3 linked regions of the Drosophila melanogaster genome follow. The protein of the gene in region 1 interacts with the protein of each later gene in a pairwise test. Each region holds a gene or a part of one and is shown in the gene's direction. Other genes may lie near its edges.

Region 1 (6,481 bases):
TGGAAATTCAACGGTGCAGGAAAGTATAAGGGAAAAAATTAACAGAATTTATAAGAAAAGTTTGCCTGCTACCGAAAACTTTTTCACAACAAGAGCAACCACGAAAAGGTCCAGGGAATGGGTTTTAAAATGATAAACTGACCCTCATCGAGATTGTCGTCCTTATGCGTCTGCATTCCCAGACGCCACCGACAAAACCGCCCAAAACTTTCCCAGCCACGTCGTCTGTGTTTTGGCCAACTTAATTCAATCAAGCGAAAATTGCTTTAAAGTCGAAAATGATTTAATATTCTTGTGGGAGTGATTTCAAAGCAAACTTTAATGAGCTGATTCCTAGCAGCAGTAATTACTCTGGACAAGCAAAAATGCGTTCTTGAAATTCAATTATCTACATTAAGCTACATATTTTTGCGGCCAGTTGTCAAAGTGAGGCTGACAAATAAGCAAAAGCTGGTAATGAAATCTTTGAATGCCCTTGAGTAACAAAACAAATTTAAATACGTTAAGCGAAGACAATGCCATTCAGTACAATGTCCTAGATTATGGCTCATTTTATTGACTTTGACTGGTTGGCACTTTTGACGTCGTTGGCTTAATTTCAAATTTTCTTGTTTTCCGGACTTATATTCAAGACACAAATAAATTCTAACATGGCATGCTTAATAGTAATTTTTTTAAACCAGCCAAATTTATTTATTTACATTTTCATAGAACCTTCTGCAACATTTTACCGATAAAAACTATATTTTTTATAGTGTGCTTCGAGCGGTATTTAAAACATATAAACTTTTCACTGGTAGATAATTTAATTTAAAGTTTTGTGTACGACACAGAGGGGACTTTGCTATGGATAAAACTTTTTACGATTTGAGGAATGGTAAACAATAAACATCTCCCAATTTCGGTCGCATTTAAAGCACTTTTCAGTGCCAACGGAAAAGGATTAAAGCAAACTGTCGGAAATTCAACCAGAAGGATTAAAAGTTTTGCTCAAAAGGCCAAACTAAAGTTTGACTCCGAAGAACGTCGACAGTTGCCATATTTTCTGTGTCACTCTCTTTCCAAAGTTTCTTCTAGATATCCCCCAACTCTTACCATATGTTTGCCAGCTTTTTTTTCACTGTCATCTAACCAAGTCGAACTTTTTTCTAAACGAAAACATCAACTGGCTCCACATGGAAATTATTGCAGCAAATTTCTTTCCAAGTTGGGTGCGAACAAAAACGGAAAATTTCCTGTTCTTCTAATGACCAACAGAGCAAGGGAGATAACTCCGGGTTTGGGCCAGGTGGATAGTTTTCCAAGTGCACGGCAATTAGATTTCGACGCCTGGGGCTTCTTAAGTTGGAGCTCTGAGACGGTGGCAGTGCTGAGATATGATTTATTTACCCAAAAAATGTAGGAGGAAACTAAAGATTGGTATCTGAAACGCAATCACTTTCCAAACTTAATTTAAATATCTGATAAATTTGCAAACTAACTTTGTAAACTTTGGAAAAAATATGTATGAATGATTTATATCGAGTGTGATGTTTGGTAACGAGGCAAGAACATATTTTTAATGTTTTTAAGAATATATATATGATATAGCACAGTCTTGCTATATCATATCCTAAGTAAATTGTGAGAGCATGCATTTCTTGTCCTCCTTTCCATGTCATTACTGATTTCAATTATTGCAAACAACTGTATGCAAAATGCATGCAATTAAGGCTAGAATAATCAATCAGCAATCAAAGCCTTTCCGAATTCAAGCTAATACACGTACATTTGCAACTATAATTATAACATTGACTGTCCCAATACCGATATAATTTTAAATGCAGTGCCATACCTGAACTACGAAACAATTGTGCCGAAAATAATATGTTATGCAAACACATTTGTGTTATTGGAATTTGGTAAAAGTATAAATAACACATTACGTATACGGCCGGTAAGCCATCCCATAAACGATTTTGAACATTTTAATTATAAGGAATTATAAATCTGATAAAATAAGGGTATATGCTCGCTAATATATGTTAAATTTAGAGTAATTAAATTTAGGTCCAAAATAACTGGAAATAATTTTTATAACAGCATGATACCAAAGGAAGGTAAAACTTTTTAAAATTTCTTGTTTTAGCATGAGATAGATAACACATGGAAGTAGTTTTGATTAACCTATAGCGACAACACATCTCAATATTATACTTTGATAATCCTTGTTCTTATATCCTTCTAAATGGCACCAGTAGAATCAACAAGCACTTGCCCAAAATGGCAACAGAACTGCAAGCGCTAACATTCGACTGTTGTTGGCCAACGAAAGTGAGAGTTCGTATAAGAGAGAAAGTGTCGGCGGGAGAGTCTCCCTCACCGCGTGCTCTCCCGACCAACTGTTAATTGAGGAAAATTGCAGCTGGGAAAACGGCAGCAGACCGCAACACGCATCAGGCATCAGGCCAATCGGGCGACGAACCTGAAAGCCGAGCACCGAGCGCAATTGTGGATCCGAGCGACTCTGCAGTCGGAAAACTCGCATCGGAAAATTCGCATCGGAAAACTCGCATGCACCATAACAAAATTCGCCGGCAAATGCGGCGCGCAGTATGCAAAACAACACCGGAACGTGCAGTTCAGTCACTGTATCTGAATCTAAAATAATAATATAAAACCAAACTACGAGCAAACCCAGGGTAAAGTAAACAAAAACTTCGCCAGCGCCAAAGACCAAATTCGATGAACGTGCGCGAAAAACTCAAACCAAATAGGGTGAGAGTGGCGAAAAAGTTGGGCGGGTGATAGATAACCCCCGGGGGCTTTTCCTGCTGCCTGCATCCAATCCAAATTAGCGGCCAAAAACGCAAGGAAAATAAACAAATAATTTTACTACCAGCCGCCGTCGAATCACAAATAAATCCGACGTAGAGTGAAAAATAACATTAGCGTCGCAATCCGAGGAATTGCAGAAACGCTTGCCAAATATTTTGAAAACCCCGAAAAGTGCGTGGTGTGCCATTTTATCGGATTCGAAAGGATGAGTGGCTAGATGACACAATATATTCAAGTGGTAAGCAAAATGTGCCTCGAGGAGCATCGAACGGGTTGCCTTGTGTGCACATCTAAAACGATTGGGTGCTATCTATCTCCAATGTGATTAGAAATATGTATGTACTATATAGTAAATAAAAAATAAGCTCTCCTCATCTACATATAAATATAATCCTAATTCTAGTTTTTGAACTTAAATTAAATATAAATATAGTTTAACTTGAAGGGTTTGCAATACTTTCGCTCTGTGCTTGGGTTTTCCATTTTCAACGTTCAAATGTTTGTGTGCGTTGAAATTTATCAGATAACTGAAATTCTGTGCGAATAGCAATTTGTAACTGTTGAATGTCTTGCGTTGAGGGAAAGAGGTTGGTCTTCCTACGAGGCGATGGGATGGGTTGAGGAACGAGGATGCCCGATGATGTGGAAACTGAGAAGGGCTGACCATCGACGGCAGCCGCAGTAAACCAGAAAGGATTTTGGGGAAACGAAACAAAATTTGACAAATTAGGGAATGCTGGAATGGTCGTAAATGTTATTCAGAGAAGTGCTATGCTGAGAATAAATGCAGAAATTGTTACGGAGACATGTTGATTAATTCGTTATGTGAGATGTGCAGAATAAAAATGCCAATTTAAGAAAAGAAATGCCAAGGCCACAAGTAATTTTCTTAATAAATATCCTGCATACATATTAAAGTGCAGCAGAAATTATTTGTTATTGGCTCATTACTCCTAGGGGTGTGGAATTTTGTAAACTTGATTTAATTGTAAGTAATTCCCATTTTATTATGAGAAAGTTAACCAAGTGGTTCAGAACCAAAGCTATGAGCTACTTACAATTTTTATAGAAGCCCTCTATGTTGTTCAGCTATGAAACTCAAGTTCCTTTAGCCTCCGTAGTTCCCCCTTCACACCAGATAACCCGGCGAATGAGCTCATCCAGCTAAGTAAAGTCCACTAAAACCGAACACCCCCTCCCCGCAAGACCAACTAAAAGGCACAAGGAGGCGGAGATAGCCACTGCCACCCCATGACCATAAAGCCCAATCAAAAGGCCGTTGCACTCGCTGACTAACGGACTAACTGAGTGAATGACGTGCCCTGGCCCAATCCTTCAGTCAATCGGTTTGATGGCCTGAGTCCGAATGTGGAGCTAGAAGCAGCACGGGAAGACAACGCAAACAGCAGGCGAAAGTGAAGGAGCAAGTCACGGAGGAGGAGCAAACGAAGCGTTTCAGCAGCTGCTGCTGCGACTCTGCAACTCGGGGCGTGTAATTTGTCAGACAGATTTCTTTTAGCGCCAGGACACAACCCCTCCCATCCAATCCAATCCAATGCTTCCTACACACCCACACTCAGCAATTGCCCACCCACAAAAAATACCGCCCACGTCATTGCAACAAAACTGCTTCCTTCCTGACTTTTTTGGCCATGCTCTTTGAAACTGAACTGGGCGTCCGACGAGGCTGGGATTGCTCTTACAAATCAGATATTCCCTTTAATTATATAATTTACAAATCTTTGTTCGTGAGTTTATACATTACATACATAAAATCGGAAGTGTTTTAATTTGCTTTTACTTTTGCATTTAAAAATGAATTATAATCAAGTTGATATAGTATGCAATTTTTTAGCTTGAAACTATAAATTGTACACTTTTAAATCCGTTTTATTTTATAATTTTAAATCAAGGATCTTAACAGAATAGACATTAAAAATTGTAGTCTTTCATTATAGGTTTGCACCATTGGTGACATATTTTGTCAATGTTTCTGATACCAAGTAGCATTTGGCAAAAATGTGGTTAAGATAAGAAAAAATGTATAAAACACCCCGGACTTTTATTAAAACCCATTGAATAAGTGAAAATGGGAACAGTCTGTGCAAAGGTATTGAAAAAGGAAGGGAAAGGAACGAGCCAGACATTGACATTTCAGTGCAAATGAAGTGATAAAACGTAAAGGCAAAGCGGCGTCAGCTAGAAAATTGCCAAAGTGGGTAAAGGAAGTGTAGGGAAAAGTGTGGAAGAGAGAGACAGACATAGTTGGGGAGAAAGAGACGGACGACTGAGCTAGATAGAGAGGGCCTGGCAGACAAAGCGCGTCGAAAATGCGTCTAATTTGATGGAAGCGATGCATGCCTTAACCTTTCGTCGGCGTCAGGCAAACAGACAGCAGCAACAACGAACACAACGATGACAGGCACCAAATGATAGCATTTCCTCCCAACTCAAAGGATCCGACTTAGCCAAGAACAAGGACACTGGCAAGGGAAAGGGAAGGGGAAAGAGTAGGAGAAGGGACCAGCCAACTGGGAGAGGATGAGCACCGGATTCAAATGGCGGAACAAGTGCCAGAGATGCTGATGTGGCGCCTCCTCAGCTGCTGACAACAAATTGATGGCCAAGGATGCACAGAAATTCCTCGGAAATTAGTCAACGCACAAGGGATTCCCACAAACTTCACTTAAAGGGGAAACCGTTCTGAAATATTAGACCGTTGTTAATATCCCAATCCTTCATGCTTTCCCAAAACAAAATTCACTTTCTTTCCTTAATCAGAACGAAAAAATATCCAAAAAAGTCCCTCAAAAATACAAATTTAGATTTAGTCTTTATTTTATCATATCACAAACAAATAAAATCTCAAATATTTAAATATTTAAATTTAATCGTAAAAATGATTCAATATTGAGCAAAATATATAAATTTACACACTATAGTACTTTTAAAATGGGTTTTCAAAATTCTGATGCATTTCATTTACATATAACAAAAAATATATTATATTTTATCGGAATTCCCTTCTGAAAAGTGCGTAAAACTTTTCCATCACATTTTCCAAATAATTAATTAAGTGGCACAAACCAGTGTTTCCGCTAGAATCAGCCCCTGGGTTAAAGTTTTCTGCTGCTAATTAGAGAATTTTCAATAATTATGCATCATAATTGACAATTCAGTTTTTCACTACTCATCACTTGCGGACGGATGGGTCTTTCCAGCACCGTCAACTTTGAACTTTTTCTGCTGCACCAGACGACAGAAAACGAACAAAACTTTTGCAATTAATTACGGACAAGACCCCTAAACTAAGAAGGGGTTAGATCGGGCGGTGGGTTACGTTCAACTTATCCCATAGAAAATACAAAAATTAAATAATAATAATGAACGGGATAGGAGGAGCTCTGTATTAGAGAGATCTGCTGCAATTAGAATTTTTTTTTTTAGAACTAAAAAGGAAATGGAAATGCATTCAAAGGGGTTAAAGGGATGGGTAGCATATCATATTCAACTGTAATGACTCTCTCCCCTCCCGACTGCAATGGCCTACTAAAAGAGAATTAATGAGAATGGGCGCAGAGGGAGGGCGGCTCTATCCAAACATCCACATCATGATTGACGAGTTAATGTGGACTTAGTTAGGGTTCCATCTGGGCCAACTGAT
Region 2 (5,246 bases), on another chromosome or scaffold:
CTGTGCCTCGCTGAGCACAATGGTTAGTAGGAGTCCAGGCTCACCAAAGAAGACCTTATAAAACCAGTATCCCTCACCCGCAGACCTGCTCATCTACTCCCACAATCCCGGCGAGAAGGAGTTCGTTCGCAACCAATTTCAGGGAATGTCCTGCAAGTGCTTCCGCAACTGCTACTCCCTCAACTACATCAGCGATGTCCGGCCCGCCTTCCTGCCACCGGATGTGTACGCAAACAACTCCTATGTGGACCTGGATGTGCACTTTCGCTTCGAGACCATTATGGTCTATCGCACCAGCCTCGTCTTCGGCTGGGTGGACTTAATGGGTCAGTACGAAATCAAATAGCTTCTATAATCCCGTAATTTGTTCCACAAACTATGTATTAAGAGACATAGCTAATTAATAAATAATCAGGATTTTTCCACCAGTTAGCTTTGGAGGAATTGCCGGTCTTTTTCTTGGCTGCTCCCTAATTAGTGGCATGGAACTGGCCTATTTCCTGTGCATTGAGGTGCCGGCCTTTGGGCTGGATGGACTGCGTCGAAGGTGGAAGGCTCGACGGCAGATGGATCTGGGCGTAACCGTGCCCACGCCCACTTTGAACTTTCAACAAACCACGCCCAGTCAGCTGATGGAGAACTACATTATGCAACTGAAGGCTGAGAAGGCGCAACAGCAGAAGGCGAACTTTCAAAACTGGCACCGCATAACATTTGCTCAAAAGCATGTTATTGGCAAGTGAATCGAGTGAGCGAATAAAATATTCATTTAAATTAATTTAAAATGCTATGATTCCGTTTGGTTTTAAAATATTTTTTCTAGTGTTTTAAATTATTTTGTGCCACACCGAAATTACTGAGTGTGATAACGCAAAAGCTCTGTGGAAATGATTTAATCTATTGTTAGCGTGTGCGTGATAAGTTGGATGGGCTGGGCTTTTACTACTGAGGCAATATTCATTACCTACGGTCAGGAGCGGATTAGCTTCGATTTGCAGGCACCAACTATCAAACAATTATTGATTTTTAAGAAAAAAGCAGCATTTTATTTATTTTATGTTAATTCCTAAATGAGTTGGTTAACTTGATGAGAATTTGCGTTAATCATCATACAAAGAAAATACTAATAGAACTAAGTGAGAAACTAGGTGATTATATAAATCTGGTCCAAATCCCCCGCGCTGTCCAAATCCTTCCCTGAACCCGTTGATGTTTAACACTATCATCACCGTGAGTAAAAAATACACGTGTATATATGAGATGGACGGCACGTTTAAATGATTCTAGAATTGTATATTCCGATACGGATGCCTCAAGCAGAGTTGATAACACCCGGAGCAAATACCACGTCTGTTGACCCACTGACGGGCGGTGTTCCAGCAGCGAAGCACCGCCTGTTGTCAATCCGAACTATCAGCCGAATCGAATCTCAATCTCTCCATAGAGCACCTATGACGTGGTCGAATGACTTTGTTCAACAGGTTGCTGCTATCAAAACAAAACGAAAACAAGAGCTAAAAATTAATTAGGGTTTCATCAACCCACAAGCTAGTGTATTTCGTTGGATGTGGATGACTATGCAAAACGCATAGAGTTAGACACTAGACTGAGACTTTTGGCTCTTAGAAAGCTCGAGGCAAACAGTGGGTCGCAGTTGATATGTAAGTAAGTAAAAATTTAAGAAAGTAAGTAAGAAAATGTCACAAAAAATAGATAGCTATAGATATTGCACAAGGGTATGGCTTAGGAAGCACAACATTGTAAAATTTAATAAAGAAATATATAACAGATTATTTTAAGTGAAACTTTAAAGAGCCCCAATACATATTTTGTAGACGACTTTTATATTTAAATAGAACTAGAATATAAATTCAATTCATATTCGACCCACTATACCTTTTACCACCTAATTAGTTTATTTTTACGATGACACCACAGTCATACGAAAAGCTCGGAATTGTCGTATAAACATTTCCCAAAAAAACTAACACTATTGCAAGCAAATATAAAACGCTGAGTTCTACGAGGCCGCAAAATCAGTTGGCTACGAAAGGCAAGCGTTAAGGTTTCGATCGGAGGTGTATCGCTTTAGTTAGAGATTCGAAATGGTGGTCATTAAGAACGAGCAGAATATCTCGGTGCCCGAGTATCTCAACGAGCACTTCTTCACAGAGACCCTGGAGGAGGGTTTGCGGGAGTCGAAGGTGACCCTGAAGGAGATCAATTTTGCGTGGGGCAGCAATCCGGGGGACAACTATTGCTCGGCTATCTATCGTGTCGGAGTCTCGTTCGCTAGATGGGCCGACGGTGGGGAATCCCCGGTGACGGAGCAGCTTTCGCTAATTGTGAAGACCATTCCGATCACCGAAGCCACTCAGTTTCTGGAGGATGTCTGTGTGTTCATCAAGGAGAAGCAGACCTACACTGATGTCTTGCCGCGATTGGATATCCTCAGCCGTGGCGACACATTCGGAGCAAAGTAAGTTAATGAAAGTTTTGGATAAAGGCACACAGTGCTTACTAGCATCTCTATCTCACATCAGATACTATCACTCTGTGAAGACTCCGGTGCAAACGATCGTGTTCAGTGACCTCACGGTAGAGGGATTCAAGGTGGCCTCGCGTGAAAAAGGCCTGGACTGGAACCACGCCTCACTCATTCTTCAGCAACTGGGAAAGTTCCATGCCACCTCCATGGTGCTGGCCAAGAAGGTAGCAGTGATGACTCTGGAGAATCCTCGAACTTCGTAATGACTTCCTTTTTGCAATTCCACAGGATCCCGCTATTGTGAAGCAATACACGCGTGGCATGCTCAGCGAGGACATCCTGATGAAGAGCGACACCTTCGAGCAAATGTTCGGCGGCTTCCTCAAGGGCCTCATCAAGAGCTCAGCGAGCTGGGCCGGCTACGAGAAGATTAGCAAGCACTTGCAGCGCCTTATGGACAACTTCCGGAACGTGTGTGCGGATGCGCCCAGGCCGAGGAAGGGTGATCGCTACGTGGTGCTCAACCACGGGGATTTGTGGACCAATAACTTCATGTACGGATACGATAACGCTTCACAGCCGGACGTTCCCACGCGTGCCATCTTCGTGGACTTCCAACTCAGCTTCTATGGCAGTCCGGCCTGCGATCTGAACTTCTTCCTGAACACCAGCATCAAGCTGCAATTGCTGCAGGAGCGCCGCGAGGAGCTCATCAAGGTGTACTATGCATCCTTCAAGGATGCTCTGGAGTACGCCCGCTTCGAGGACATTCCCAGCTATGAGGATCTGCAGTACGAGCTGCGCAGCCGCGAAACCTACGGACTTTTCGGCATGTTCGCCTTCCTGCCCATGATCACCATGCCCAAGGAGCTGGCCCAGGACAACAGCATTGAGAACATGCAGGACGAGGCCTTCAAGCAGCGCAAGATGGATGCCATCTTCTCGCAAAAGTTCCTGAACGACCACCAAAAGTGGGCTCTGAAGCGAGCTGATTCACTTGGCGTCTTCGGGGACTACTGAAAAGTGGCATGAGTATTATAATGGTTGGGGTTCTGTGATATAAATGGAGGCTCTTCCAAGGCACACATCCTTGATATAGCTATATTAGCTTTCGGCCTGAGAATGTAAATGTTTTGGATTGATTAAAGTACCAAACCTGACTTCAATGCAATAAATCAAACTAACGAAATGTATTTTTTATTCAGATTTCAGGAATATGGTATCAGACAATTTTCAGGGGCTTGCACAACACATAACCACTTATGTTTTCAATTCATAGTCGCTTAAGTATACCACTTATTCTATGAGTGTACGCTGATTTCTGATGCCTGAGAATGAGAAAATATTAAGATAAGATCACATTGACGCAATCGAATCAGGGACTTATACATATATGGTTACATTTCGGGTTGTAGGTTTCGAGATCCGAAGTAACCATAAAAACGATTGAGTTTGGAAACCTTATGGAAGCACAGTCAGCTTGAGCTTGAATTAATAAATTACACAGTATATATTACGCATTTCTTATAAAGCTTACAATCATCTTGAATAACCACGTAGGTATTAGATAATAATACCCTTAGCGATCACGTGCATTCAGAATTTGATGATTTCATGGTTGTTTCCTTCAAACATTCTCAGTCACTTAGTTTCTGCAGTCTGGGATTATTTTATTAGGGCTCTATCATTAGGTCAACTTATAAAAAAAAGTAGAATAGTGTTATCTTCTGTCTAATGTGTTTATTAAAGCTATAGCTTTTATACAACAGGTTGCATATATAAAGTACCGAATGAGGTATATTCTTTTTATAATACCCATCACCTAAAATGTAGGAGGATAGTAGCCATCTTAATAATATCATCTAAACCTTGTGTTTAGTGCGATATATGGCCTAATCATATTACCTTTAAGGTAAGATATTGAATGTAATCATGCCAAACAGATTTAATATAAACGATTACGTACAAATATAATATATTTAAGAAGCGTTCGCATATAATTAGCTTCGGATTGACACTTGACTGAAAGCGTTCCCTTATCAGAAACTCGTTGGATTAATGCAAATTCGAATCAAAACTTGATAAGATAATGAGCTGCCAATCGCTGCAAGTGGAATTCATCCAGCAGAATTCGAAAAATATTCAAACTGAATATTGTCGGCAGAGTTCAAAACAGGAAGTCAAATTACTAGTTAAATGCGCCTAAAAAGGTCGACGTCTCCGCGTTGCGTGTTTTACAAATATCGAAAAATTAGACATCTCGTTGTCGTCTATTAAAGTCTATATATAACTGAAAGTATAATACTACACATAACTGGATACACATAACTATAATTAATTGCGCCGCCGGATTCAGCTGGGCAAGATCATAGCGACACGTATATAAATTGAGCACCGCCTGGTAGCCACTTTTCAAACGATCCCAAGATGTGTAGCATTGTGTTCGACGCGGACGTGGTTGCTCCACCCAGCCACCTGGACGTGCCCTTCTTCGAGGAGGTGCTGGAGACAGCTCTGCGAACAGCCAGGGTGCAGCTGCTCTCCATTCACATCCGGATGGGCAGCAGCACGGGCGAGAACTACTGCAGTCAAATCTACAGAGTGAAGGTTTCGTTTAAGCGCCCCGATCATCCGGAGCAGCACATGGCGTTTATTGTGAAGAGCATTCCCCACCTGGACTCGGTGGAGTTCATTGATGACCTGCAAGTTTACCTCAAGGAGAAGATCACCTATTACGAAGTGCTACCGCGGCTAGAGC
Region 3 (5,929 bases), on another chromosome or scaffold:
TTAAATGAACTAGTTTATGAAGCGAAAAGCCTCTAAAATAATATTAAATACATAGAAGTGGGTTTCTTGCTTCAAGAGATTTTCAACCTAATTATTTTTTATTCTACTTAGATAGTTATCCTGGCCATTTGAATGAGTTTATTCCAGAACGCCTTGCTGCAGTCACTGTAAGTTTTCCGGCAATTGGCACCAGCTTTTCCGGCATTCCGGGCATGCAGATACTTTTCAGGCACATTATCCAGGGATGGACTGTTAAATGGTTAAAGATAACAAGTGCTACATTTTGCTTAAGCATTTTAAAGGTACTGAAAACTAGACTTACACCAGCACTGCATTCAGTATCTCGCCAAAAATGCTGTTGTGCATAAAGGGGCGTTGGGATATCTCACAGATACATTTGAGCAGGCAGGCACCTGCATTCCGATCTCCGAGCCTGCAACACGAATAAACCAGTAAAAGGCGATGACAGATGAGCCATCAAATACACACCGCTCCAATCCCGTCTCCACAACATCGTACAGCCAAACTCGGGTCTCGTCCTGGAAAACCCTGCTCCGGATGCCTTTCCTCCACTCCCTGGCGGTGGACAGAAATGTCGAGGTGTTCCAGAAACTCCACCAGTAAATTGGGACAGGCGATGGCACGTATTGCGCCTGGTAGTTGACGAATCCCCAAACCGACTGCACGGTATCCGCCTGCTTGATGGGAAACGCCAAGCCAGCGACAATCTGGGGGAGAACAATTAGGAGCCGGAATGCCAAAGTTGGATCGATGGTCAACCTTGTTTGTGCCCTGACCATTGAAAATGGCCAAGCGTTTGGTGCGACTGAGACTGAGCCCAGGGCTAGCATTTCTATCATTCCCATCTCCTGCAGCACTCGCAGCTAGGACGAACAGCAGCAGGACGGAGGAAGAATTCGGCTGGAACTGTTTGCCACTGGAGTGCATGGTCAACTAATTTTGCAGCCGGTGCAACTTGCGGCAGCATTGGGAAACTCAGCTCTTAGTTTGCCAAAGAAATTGACAGACGGGGAATTCGCAAAGTTAACAGAAAACTGCCATTATACACTGAAGAAATAAGTTTGACGAATCATTGAACTGTAAAATGTCCAATTAAATTGCATCTTAAGCGAGATCTTACCAAAACCACAAAAGTTACAAAAACCACAATTCATATGAATATTTGAACCTGAAGATAATGGTCTATTTAAGTTATTACATTCTACTAAAACGAATGGACAAAATGAATACTGAGCATCGAAACCGCAACTGAAGCTGTGGCCATTCCAACTATCTGAAACACTTACTTCGATACGCAATGACTCCTTAAACCATCTGCCCTTCATCCAGATCCACTTCTCCGTGACTGGAATGGCATTGTACGTATGCTAGGATTCAATGGCCTTTCGGATGTGTAGACTCTGTCCCAGAAAGAATCCTCTCTTGGCACCTGGTTTTGGTTGAAAGCTCATGGCTCTTTGCCCTTCCTTCATGGGTGTTCCTGGTTGTTTATCAGTTTATATCATAAAACCATTAAGATTTTTATTTATCAATTCGCATTAAATAATAGTGTATTTAAGGTTTTTACCCATGAATTAATTAAAAACCTTGCCATAACATTAATATTGGGTTTGGATAACAAGAGGTAAAATAAAATAGAGCAGTTAATGTGAAAATTAAAAAGCACTCAATCAAGCTGAGTATTTCGCCGAATGCGTTAAACGTTTAATCCATCCGAAAGCAGTAGTGATTAAAATATTTTAAATACTAACTATGCGCTACTGTTTTTTTTTTTTTTTTTTGACTGGCTTGTCACTTTAAAGATTATTTATTGCGGTGGCTAGCGCGGCATTGTTAGCGCGAAAAAAAACCAGCAATCACTAACCAAATATAGTAATTAAACAATCTGTTGTCGGGCAATTTGACAATGTACGAAATGAATAGAGTGAAAAATCGAGGAATTAGTATTTCAGCTGCAGGCAATTTCAATTGGGAGATGGAATGCAAATGGATGGGGCTATTTAGCACCTTCTAAAGAGCACTTGGCATGGCACAGAATCGAGTTAACGACACTCAATTGGGTGCTAATTGTACAATTAAACTTGGCCAAACCAAACTGGACCAAAATCGTTGGACGGAATGCGCGCGGCATCAGTTTCAGTAGCAGTTCGAGTTCGATTCGGACAGCTAATGGCATCAACATATCGTAAAATAAAAAGTTTAGGCCCGGCCAAAATCGCTCCCAATCGAGAAACCAATTCGCCCCTAATGGTAATTATCTGCTTCATAAATTCGCGTTCAATTCCGACCGGAGTTTTGGCCCCTCGAAAATGGCAGTGTTTTAATTGTGCAGCCCGATCGGAACGGATTCAAACTGGACCAGCGAGAATCGACCATTGGCCGGCCATTGGATATTGGACATCTCTTGCGCTTCGAATATTGTCGAAAATTGCATTAATTTAACGCATGATTGGCAGTGCCGGCAAATGGAAGCGTCACAGCTAAAGTGAAATTATGCAAATTTCGTCGCCGCTTTTTTCGATTCGAGTGCCCAGGCACGCAGCAATCGGAATGTTCGATTGCTCAATTACACTAGTGAACAAAACTGGGACGCCACTCTTGAGAATAAAAAAATAGGCATAAAATTGATTGGTGCCCTAAAATAGAGCTACATGATGCTCGTTTAAGAGATACTTCGATAGGTTTCAAAAATGTTAACAAACATTAATATAAGAATCCATTCTATTAGTTTACAAATATCACTTATAAAATGTGAATATATTTCAGAGATTAATACTTACTTAATACTTTACAACTCTCCATCAAAAATACTTTCATTAGAACTCCATTTTGGCTGCTAAGTGTTGACCAAGTGACTTTTGCTGGTTTCCATTAAGGACAAATGGGGAAAACAATCAAAGTAATTGGATGTGCTGGAGTCGGCACTCTGCTCATATTGCTGCTGCCTCTTTGCCTGATCCAAAATTATAGTGCACCAAGTGGTAATGGTCACTCGAATGTCTCGCACACAGTGGTCATCACACCTGCTCCTGCTCCCGCTGGCCCACTTGAATCTGGAAGGGATGCGATGTTGCGACTGCATCGCCAGAAACGCTACCTGCTCTTCCCCGAGGGCTCGTCCTTTCAGCTGGTGTTCGACATCATCATACCCATCATAGACTACACCAACTACGCCATCCTGGGCATCACCTGCTCCGTGGCCTGGGAGCTGCCCAGTAAGCCGCCCAGCGAGCTGATTGAAAACGTGCTCACGCGCATCAACGACGGCACCATCGGCACTGTCCGCCGGAACGGCAGCGTACCCGATCCAGAACCTGACCCTCCATCCCAGCCCCTAACCCACTCGCAGAACCTGGAACTGGACAATCGAGGAGCAGACACGGCTAATTGGCAGGCAGTGCACGCACCGCCGGCGAATCCACCGGCATATGCGGCCAATGAGCATGACTCCCACTCGTATTACACGAATATCCAGCGCATCCCGGCCGCTTACCCATATGCAAATGCAAATGCGAATGCGGATGCAAATGCAAATGGACAGCAGAGCCAGGCGGCGATTCCTGCTAATTGGCATGCGCGACAGTCGCCCGCTGAGTGGCAGCAAAGGGTGAAGACGACGGGCGCTGACAACTGGTGGACACGAAATGGACAGCGAGTGCAGCAGAACTGGCGAGAAAAACAGCGCATATGGGGCCCCTCGAAGTGGGAGTAAGTAAACCTAAAAAATATACATATTTAAGTTAAAATATTATTTTAAAAATAATATTTCGCAGCTATGCCTACTCCCAGCGACCCCGAGAAGTGCTACGAGCACCACCCAAACATCACATATATCCCGTTTTCGCTCGGCGGAGGAGGCGACGCAGTCTTGATCAGGATGCCCACTTCGAGCGACTCCACCTGCAGCAGCATCTCAGCTCGAGGCAGCTGCTCTTTGGCAAAATCGAACGCCTGTACAAGTCGTGAGTTTAAGACGCCTACTATAAATTATTTCGCTCAGTGGTGTAATAAACGTGTAATCCTCCAGGCGACGACTAAATGGTACCTCCTGTGTGCTCCGCGCACTCTGCGAGTCCTCCCAAAGGCAACAGCATGTCCTTCGAGGGACGAATGCGGTCAGGCCACAAAGCTTTATAATGGAAATACTCTCGGCCATCTTTCAATTGCCCAGCAGCGATGACGTGGAGGAGCTGGAGGAACTTGAGCTAATGATTTCCCCTAATTATCTGGAGGCACATCGGCAGAAGGGCAACTGTCGGCAAATCTACGGTGACTGTAATCACACGTTCTGGTTGGATTGAACATAAAAACACAATAAAAGTCTGGGAATTATGTGAATGCTGCTATTGAGTTTTAATCAATATTATATGTACAAAAATTAATGGGCACTACAGTAGAAATCAGTGTTTGAATAACTTTGGGGATTAACGAGCTATTTAATATATCTTATAGTTTGTATTGACAACCCACCCAGAAAGCTAGTCGGATATTGTAAAGAAAAGATTGCACAAAAGTCATTTGGAAGTTTCTTCACTTGCAGCTAAAAGCATCTCCCGAGTCGAAGGCGAGCATTTGAGTTTATCACCGGAAAAACGGAGGCTAGTGATCACATTACTTCAACTTCCACTCTGCAGCACTATCGGAATAAGATGGAAGTGTGCTACTTTCGGGATGGAACGAATAAACCAAAAGTTGGGAGCGTGAAAAAGTAATTTGAACCTCTAAATAGACCAATGAGCACACGGAGCAAAAGGCGATGGCAATGGAAGCAGCTCTGCAAGACAAACTACTTGGCAAAGCACAAAAGACGAAAAGTGTGAAAACTAATGAAAGACAAAGGAGGAGGGCAAAAGAAATTTAACGAGCGGAGCTCAAACTCAAACTGGAAACTTTCTGGAGGGAAAGCTGCTTGGCCACCACCACTACTCACAATTAACAGCCAACTTTTGGCCAAGAACGCTTCTGTTGCTGCCTCTCTTTGTCGGTTTGGGCCAGCATCGCGATACTTGGCCAACAGTTGCCGCATGGACAACGCTTCGACAGCAGGTTGAAAAAATGTCGACACGGAAAAAGATGGGGAGCTGCTCCAATGCCATCGAGAAGGGAAATTCCCCGATAGGTAATTGCTGGCCGACCATCCTGACGCTTCTCATCGTGGCCAACTTGGTCGACGCACTGAAGACCGGGGAATCCATCCAGTTGGCAACCGGGAGCCAGCCATCACTGAGCATAAACAATGCGGACGACAGCAGCCTGGAGCAGCTCATCGAGATGAGGCTGAATGAGTCTGCGTCCGCATCCTACCAGAACAACCAGTCAGCCAGCCAGGAGCTGTTGTCCCGGAAACGACGTTATTTGGTATTTCCGGAAGGCAGCTCCTTTCAGATGGGTAAGTCCTCAGTCACGGGACAGTGACGCAGTTAAAGGGCATTTTACATTGAATAGGGGGTGTCGCAATTGCAGTATAAAAATAAATCTCAATCTTTATAAATCTAAAATATTTACAAAGATTGTGACTTTAAACCTTGTCTATTATTACCCCTAACTATGCCACTGTGCCACATAATGCAAATCACATGCCTCAATTACCCCTCCCTCTTCATCCGTTTAGTGTACGATGAGATTGTGGGAGTGGTGGACCACACGAACTACTTGATTCTGGGCATTACGGTGGCCCTGGCCTGGGAGCTGCCCAGCAAGCCGCCCAGCGAGGAGCTGGACGATCTGCTGACCAAGTTGGAGGACGGCACAATAGACATCAGTCGCAACGACACAGTGTCGAACATAACCTATGTGGATGTGGATGCAGATGCCACGACGACCACGACGAGCAGGCCGGCGGACTACAAGCCCAACTACATCAATTTGTCGAGTTACGGCTCCTCCTCCTCCTCCTCCTCCTCGAGTG

The links.
Region 2: the proteins of AstC-R1 (region 1) and CG9498 interact in a two-hybrid assay, tested with the Drosophila melanogaster proteins (one large-scale study listed by BioGRID).
Region 3: the proteins of AstC-R1 (region 1) and CG17781 interact in a two-hybrid assay, tested with the Drosophila melanogaster proteins (one large-scale study listed by BioGRID).

What each region holds. Positions count from the first base shown.
Region 1 is NT_037436.4:18,557,650-18,564,130, forward strand, and holds the start of AstC-R1 (allatostatin C receptor 1), read left to right. Parts: upstream 1-2,608; 5' UTR 2,609-3,055; intron 3,056-6,481.
Region 2 is NT_033779.5:6,347,821-6,353,066, reverse strand, and holds CG9498 (uncharacterized protein), read left to right. Parts: upstream 1-2,032; 5' UTR 2,033-2,105; coding exon 2,106-2,479; intron 2,480-2,543; coding exon 2,544-2,712; intron 2,713-2,776; coding exon 2,777-3,508; 3' UTR 3,509-3,674; downstream 3,675-5,246. Other genes in the region: ppk7 (pickpocket 7), read left to right, coding at 1-22, 84-326, 430-743; CG9497 (uncharacterized protein), read left to right, coding at 4,916-5,246.
Region 3 is NT_033777.3:24,371,884-24,377,812, reverse strand, and holds CG17781 (uncharacterized protein), read left to right. Parts: upstream 1-2,151; 5' UTR 2,152-2,271; intron 2,272-2,841; 5' UTR 2,842-2,902; coding exon 2,903-3,729; intron 3,730-3,794; coding exon 3,795-3,983; intron 3,984-4,048; coding exon 4,049-4,322; 3' UTR 4,323-4,357; downstream 4,358-5,929. Other genes in the region: CG33342 (HDC15381), read right to left, coding at 108-249, 323-433, 490-728, 781-948; CG17782 (uncharacterized protein), read left to right, coding at 5,077-5,410, 5,633-5,929.